Drosophila melanogaster: one gene and its partner. The protein of the gene in region 2 purifies or fractionates together with the protein of the main gene of each other region. This does not show direct contact. Each region holds a gene or a part of one and is shown on either strand. Other genes may lie near its edges.

Evidence for each region. The genes of interacting proteins can lie anywhere in the genome.
Region 1: the proteins of Akap200 (region 2) and Lamp1 purify together in Drosophila melanogaster (affinity purification with mass spectrometry, with the first as the bait; one large-scale study listed by BioGRID). This does not show direct contact.

What each region holds. Positions count from the first base shown.
Region 1 is NT_033779.5:21,571,849-21,575,603, reverse strand, and holds the start of Lamp1 (Lamp1), read right to left. Parts: upstream 2,216-3,755; 5' UTR 2,110-2,215; coding exon 2,043-2,109; intron 818-2,042; coding exon 491-817; intron 1-490.
Region 2 is NT_033779.5:8,413,852-8,417,606, reverse strand, and holds the start of Akap200 (A kinase anchor protein 200), read right to left. Parts: upstream 1,918-3,755; 5' UTR 1,721-1,917; intron 1-1,720. Other genes in the region: CG13398 (uncharacterized protein), read left to right, coding at 2,728-3,755. UniProt on the Drosophila melanogaster protein: Scaffolding protein involved in the regulation of PKA signaling and anchoring to the actin cytoskeleton integrating signals propagated by cAMP, diacylglycerol and calcium.

The DNA of each region.
Region 1 (3,755 bases), about 13 Mb from region 2:
GTAAGTCTTGATACACCATTCGATTTAAACTAAAAACAAAAGAGATACCCGAAGAGGTAACCGTTACTCAGCTAGTGTGAATGCGAACGCAACTTTTATAATTTTTCTGGGATATCGATAGATATTGGGGAATAAAATGGGAAAAAAAATGGTTTGTGGACGTGGCAACATGGGTCAACAAACTTGCGCTCCGTCTTTATCCTTACGTTACCCTTAGTGCATCATTAGTGCATCACTCGTTATTGTCTGAAAACTTGATTATCATTTCTATGTGTACAGTGATGTAAATATAATATATATAATATACATACATATATCCTTACATATGTACATCTCTTTTTAATCTAAACTGAAATATTTGCCTTATCGATTTCAGTAAGTTCATTAAAATGTTAAAACTGTGAGACGAGTTTCTATAAAATCTAATAGAGCCCATACCTCACCAATGCCGTAATTCGATCGCAATCTAAATATGGATTTATTTTCTTACCCCTAGCCTCATAGGTAAAATTAAGTTGTGCCGCCATTTGAAGCATAATACAAGAGGTATTCCAAGCCCCAATGGATGGTTGCGGATATGGTTGCGGGGCAATGGTCGTGCTTATCACTGGTGCGGTGGTCGATGGTGATTCCGTTGAAGGTGTGGTAGATCTCGGAGTTATTGTAGAAGTTGATCTGGTTGTGATAGGTTTCTCAGTTGTTGTCGAAGACGTTGAGATTGTTGAGGAGCTGCTGGTCAGTGGGTTTGCTTGTTCCAGAAACAAATCACTAACATTTTTACCGACTCTCGGCAAGCCAATAAGCTTTTGAGAGAACACTAAAAGAAGAATTTTTAAAAATATTAAAGCTTTTCTTTATTAAATCGGAATTTTCTTTAAATTGACGTGAAAAAAAAATTATTTATTAGAGATTCAAATGTACATATGGTTAGCTCTAATTGTATTTCCTTTGTTCTCTTATCAAAAAATTACCCTTTGTTATTTATATTAGTGAGTTTGGACTTGATGGACAATTTATTTCCGTTTTCAGTGATTTGTAGAGATCCTATGAAAATGGCCGTACCGTAACATATTGTCAAATATTTATACAAACCAAATGTATAAGGTCGAAATCGAATTTTAAATTCGGTCTGGTTATAGAACTATTTAACAAGATAAGATTAGTAGGAACACACTACAAATTAAAAAATAAAAAATATTTTCTGATTTAATCATTTATCCTTCTGTTGCTATGCCGAAACATTTTATCACGCATGCTATAAAAAAAAATGTTTTAAATTGTTTATTTTAATATGTCTCCCCAAATATGTAGGTACATACATATGCCCAGTCTAGCTCCAAGTCTTTGTTGTCTTATCCGCTTATCATAGTCTGATAGTCAGAGAACCGACTATAGCGTTATCTCTTGTTGTTATTTTATCACAGATTGTTTTTTTTATGTCATATATTATTTTGTATATACTATGTGCACAAATGTCTAACATTGGTATTGAACAAATGACCCAAAATCTTGTTATATGAATTGACAGATAGTAACCAAAAACTAAAGTATGCTATATGGCGGATACAAATTTAATATGATATGCCGATTTATACACCCATGCATATAAATATTTTAAGTGCATAAAATAAATATGGATGCATACGGTGGCGGATGACTTTATCTGCATACAAAACTGTAAATTGCCAGAACAAATAAGCGAAAGGGGTAAAAATGGATGTTCTCCGGGGCTAACGAACGTAAGCGACACCATTTTTCTAGAAGAGTTATGAAAGGATAGCCAGATTACTGAAATAGGTTTAAAACCCTTGATCTACGAAGGCAAAACTCGCAATTCAACCGTTTACACCTTATTACGCCGATAAGACACTAACGCATATGGCGACGTGAACGGCACCGGAAAAATAAATTATGTGCGATGAACAAACGACATACATATACATATAAAAAGAACTGCGATGTATTATCACATTGAACAAAGGCCTCCAATGCGACGCATTTCATTGCTGTTTTAAAAAGGGTTTAATTGGCTTGGCACTAACCTGTACTGCTTAGTAAAAATAACATTATTAGTAATGCCGAGCAGGTCAACAATTTGTTGGCGAACATATTGAATGGCAATCTCACTTAAGTTGTGTTGCAGTTTTTCTATACGTTAATCTACTACACTGACACATACGTTTTTGTCTCGACTGAGCTAGTTTTTATTTTGACCTTCTTCATCAATAGTGTGACCGAATTTCTAAAAGAACTAAAATTAGCCCATATGGAACCGTAATAATAGTACATGTCCACTACAGCAAGATGTCTATCGATATTTAATGAAACTTATAATAATAATATACCAAAAAATATATTCTTAATTCCATAATATAATACAATTAGTACATTTTCTTATCAAACATTTAATTTCTGATCAATCGAAAGAATTATATGTATAACATGTTATAATTTTATCACGGGTTTATATAACACAGGTTTATAACACACAGGGTTTATAACACAGTGGAAATATTTATAAATTAATTTCCATATTTTGAGTTCATTGACTTAATGAAAAAATGTTAGGTATTACCAAAGACACTATAATAACAAGATGCGTAACGCCATACGATTTTTTGGCACACGATTTTTTCGCCGTGGCTCTAGAGGTGGCTCCAGGCTCTCTCGAATTTTTGTTAGAGAGCGAGAGAGCGAAGAGCGCTACAGCTAACAACTGTATGTGTGCACACGTATGCTCATGCATTGTAAATGGGACAAAATATCCCCTTCACCCTAGAGGTTCTTTGACGTTAAATCTATATTATTTTTGATCAATTGGCACCATGCGAAAAATTCTTGTTTTGCATTGCCTTAACGTTATTATTGTTTGAAAATAGATTAGAAATAGCCAAATCTATGTACATATTATCACAAAAATAAATTTCAAAAATGACTTTATGTAAGAATATTTGTCATTAGAGTATTCATATTGAGGCGTGTGAAAAATTAATATGGCAATGATTGTTGAGTGCTTGTGTCCGCACTTCGTGCCGCAAGATATGAACAAAGCAAAGACACTAGAATTATTCGTTTATCCGTTTACACATTTATATTTTTGTTTAATTCTAATTTGTCTTTCATCTGACAATTTTTTAAAAGCGAAATATTTTTTTTAAACACTTTTAATGTTAATGTTACATCATATTAAGTCAAATGACTTAATAAATATACTAAATAATTAAAGGAAGTACAATAGAAATTATTATAACTACTGTAATTTCATAAATTTCATAAAAATATGATAACTGTTTATTGCAAAAGTCATATCAAAGACACTAGAATAATTCTAGTGTCTTTGCTTTGTTCATATCTTGCGGCACGAAGTGCGGACACAAGCACTCAACAATCATTGCCTTATTAATTTTTCACACGCCTCAATATGAATACTCTAATGACAAATATTCTAATATAAAGCCATTTTTGAAATTTATTTTTGTGATAATATGTACATAGATTTGGCTATTTCTAATCTATTTTCAAACAATAATAACGTTAAGGCAATGCAAAACAAGAATTTTTCGCATGGTGCCAATTGATCAAAAATAATATAGATTTAAAGTCTAAGAACTTCTGAGGTGAAGGGCATATTTTGTCAAATTTACAATGCATGAGCATACGTGTGCACACATACAGTTGTTAGCTGTAGCGCTCTTCGCTCTCTCGCTCTCTAACAAAAATTCGAGAGAGCCTGGAGCCACCTCTAGAGCCACGGC
Region 2 (3,755 bases):
CAATAAACCAATTTCAAAGATACATTCGGTTGGCGACCGCTACCTGAAATCGCAGCGAAATAATTCAATTTGCTCAAATTTCGGGAGTGGGGAAAATTCAGAATGCAAACTCCATTCCTAATCAAATTTTCAACAGGCAAATTGATAAGATTTTCGGAAATATTTACAGTTTTGGTGCCTAAATTGGGTCACTGACAAATAAATTTGGTCAGGTTAGAACACAAAGAAGAGCATTCATTTTCAAAGAAAAGATTTCAGTAGAGCAATCATGAAATTTCACTTGTCAAATACGTTTTACGTATTAAGTACAGTACAAATATTTAACAATAAAAGTAATTATATACTTAAGAAATATGATTGTGACAAGAACTTGAATTTAAGATCCTTGACAGAGGCTACTAAAATTTAAGGCATTAGCATTCAGCGTTGCAAGTAGATCATAAAATTCTCTTAGCAGTAGTATAAATTGCAGTTGACAATCGAAAATCTTGTGATTGCGCTTCTGCTTCTTCCTCCTCGGCCTCTGCCCACCCACTCCATTCGTAAAGGACTCACACATGCAGCGAGGCACGCACACAGGCACACTACCCCAGGCACGCAAGCACATACACCACACACACAAAGACATGTAGGCGACGCCAGTTAGGGCGGTGGCTGTCTGCCCGTCTGCGATTGAGCGATTGAACGACTGAGTGACGGACGGACGGACGAACTGACAAACCGACGCTGCAGAAAGTGCGACGCAGTTTTTCGCAACAAAAGTGTAGGAAAAACAAAAAGACGATCCTCCTCGTATCGATAATCTGAGTAAACCGAGACGCAAAAGGGATCGAAACGTATACAAAGATCAAATGGCCACAGTGGGCACTCGCTATGTGCGTGCACCTTGCACAAGGATGTTTGGCTGAGAAGGTAGAAACATGTTGGCAAGTGTAATCAGGCGTACAATGCAAACAAAGAGGAGACAACGACAATGAACCAGAAGTCAAGGCGAAGCGATGGCACAAAGGACCAGAGCGATGAGCGGGCGAGGCGAAGGAAGGCGAGGCACAAAAAGGAGAGAGCGCTAGATTGAGCCGAAGAGACAAAGAGAGAGAGAGAGAGCGAGACGGATACGGATACAAAGCCACACCGGCATGGTGTTTGCCTCTGCCGCCGTCACTGCCTGCGCTGCTGCTGCGGACGCCGACGTGGTGGCAACGCCGACGCATTGAAGGCGGCACACCCAAAAATTTTGTAAAAAGGCAACTACTCCAAGGTGGCGAAATTCGAATGCTGTATTTTGCGGGGGCGGGGTTAATGACAAAGAAAGTTCTCCTTAAATGCATAAAACTCCATTTAAATATCTCTTTTAGTCTTCGCTTCTCCCATTCTTCACCGTTCACGCACACTAAGCCGCCTTCCATGGCGTCCTTTTTCCTGCCTGTGTGTGTGAGCGTCGGCGGGCGTCTCTTTTACAAACACTTGTGCCTCAAATACAGTTACCATTTTTGAAACCAGTTAGAAACTTTTCGTCAATAACTCTTTGTCTCCTTTTCAATCACAATTCCTTTAAACAAACACGAAATTCAAAGCGGGTATAGAGAATTTCAAAAGTAGCACCACTCACGCACACACACACACGCAAGCCGTCTGCCTGCTTGGCTTTGGTTTCTTTTTCATTTATTTTTTTAAATTAACTCCTTTATGTTCTGATCTTATGACTTAAAGTGGAATTTACCTGGCTCGATTCTCTCGGTTTCGGTTTAAAAACACACGCACTTGCTTCTTTCTTTGCTTTGCGATTCTACACTGGCAGCAGCTCTTTTTGCCTGCTTTCCGTTTCGGTTTCTTTTCTCGTTCTTGTTGCGCGCTCCACAAATAAAAAATGTCCGCTCGGGTCTGGTATTTACGTCGCGTTAGGATGTTTTCGCAGTTAGAACGCGTTAGGGCTTCGGGTCTAGTTATAGTGCTGTCCACAAAGTTGATGTTCCGCCAAATGGTTAACCATACAATTAAGATGACTAAAATGCCTTAACTTAAAATTTTTTTATAAATTATATTTGTTTACATCTGAATCCTATTTATTACTTGTTAATTGCAGTAAACATTTGCAGAAACGTAAAAATTACGACGTAAGAAATCTTCAAGATTATTCTATTAAACGAGAGAAAACTTCTATTAAGCTGACATTTGCAATATTTTTCTATAAATTTTGAAATATTAATATTTCCTTGGCTTAAACTTGGCTAAACTAGTTTTTCATTCTTTAAGTGTAATTACTTGTAATTTGTCTTTGATTTTCCGTTTACTTTTTTAAAAAGCGTTTCTTGTAAGTCTTTTTGCGAAAATCAAGTTAGCATGCCCGTTGCTCACAATTGCGTTCTGTCGGGCGAGGGGAAAAGTCGCAGAAGAAATTTTATACCACAAGAACGGAATTTCCGTGGCCAAATAACAACAATCAGCCAGCAGTCCCGTCGATCAGGAGTTAACCAAAGCAGGAGGAGTCAACCAGGATAACAGCAACACAATTCGACTGCACCCCAGAGCCTCCAGTTCCACTGGGTAGCTGATTTCAGCTGGTGGAGGCGGTGGGTGGTGCTCTTATCGGCCTGCGATTTCTTCCATGCCCGCTGCGATAACAGCCAGGCGGACTTGCCTGTCCAGGTGTGCATTTCAATAGGCACTGTACATGACTGGAGTGGATAATCCTTCAATGCATAATACTCCGTCTTTCAGTGCAACACCATGGGCTGCATCACCAGCAGCAGCAAGTTAAATGAGCTGCGCGGTCATGAGAATGTGTTTCGAGTGCGAGTGGCTCACCTGCAACCCACCCCGGGTACGCCCATCATCCGGAGTGGCTACCTGGAGCTAACGCCCCGGGAACTAATATTCCAGTCGCCTGGCTGTGAGCCCATTGTCTGGGCACTGCAACACCTCCGACGTTATGGGTTGAATAACGATCTCTTCTCCTTCGAAGCAGGACGTAGGTGTATGTCTGGGCCAGGGATCTACACGTTTCGAGTCCACAATGCCGAGCAGCTGTATCCGATGTTTCAGCGCTACATCAACGCGGTGAATACAGATGCCTTTGTGCAGGGCGAACGAGAAAGGGTTAACTCCGCTCATTCGGTGTCCGTAAATATGGGCCGTACTGAGGGCAATAACTATCTAGAGCCGGCTCCCCTAATGAGCCGCCAGTTGGGCAACTTCCACAGTGAGCCCTCGAGCACAAGTGCATCGTATCCGCTGCAGGCCAACGATTCGCAAGTCGATGACTCTCCGCCCAATTTGCAATCACCAGTCCTGATACCCAGTGCCTATTTGGATCAGCCATTGCGGGCTTTGCAGGACTGTTGTCTGGAAGGCACCGCCTCGGATTTGCTTTCCACCCCGCCCTCCGGCAATAGGTTGACATCACGTAGGCGCACGATGGACTTGCCACCTCTGGAATCGGCCCCAGCACCAGCTCCAGTTCTGAGTCCCAACGATGCTGTGCACATGTACGCCAATGTGGAAGCTCTGATCTTTGATCTGAACAATGAGCGCTGCTATGAGAACGTAAATCGCTTGGAGCTCCCTCTGCTGCCGAGGGAACCAATTTCCAATCAAGAGCCGGCCACGCCCACCAGCTTAGCGGGCAGCTGCGGAGTAAACTATATAGTGCTGGATCTTGATCAGCCGCGAAGTCCCGTGGGACCGGCGGGTTCATCAAAGGCGATCAATGGATTTGGCAGCGGCTTATCACTGATCTCCACCCCAGCAGCTGTCAC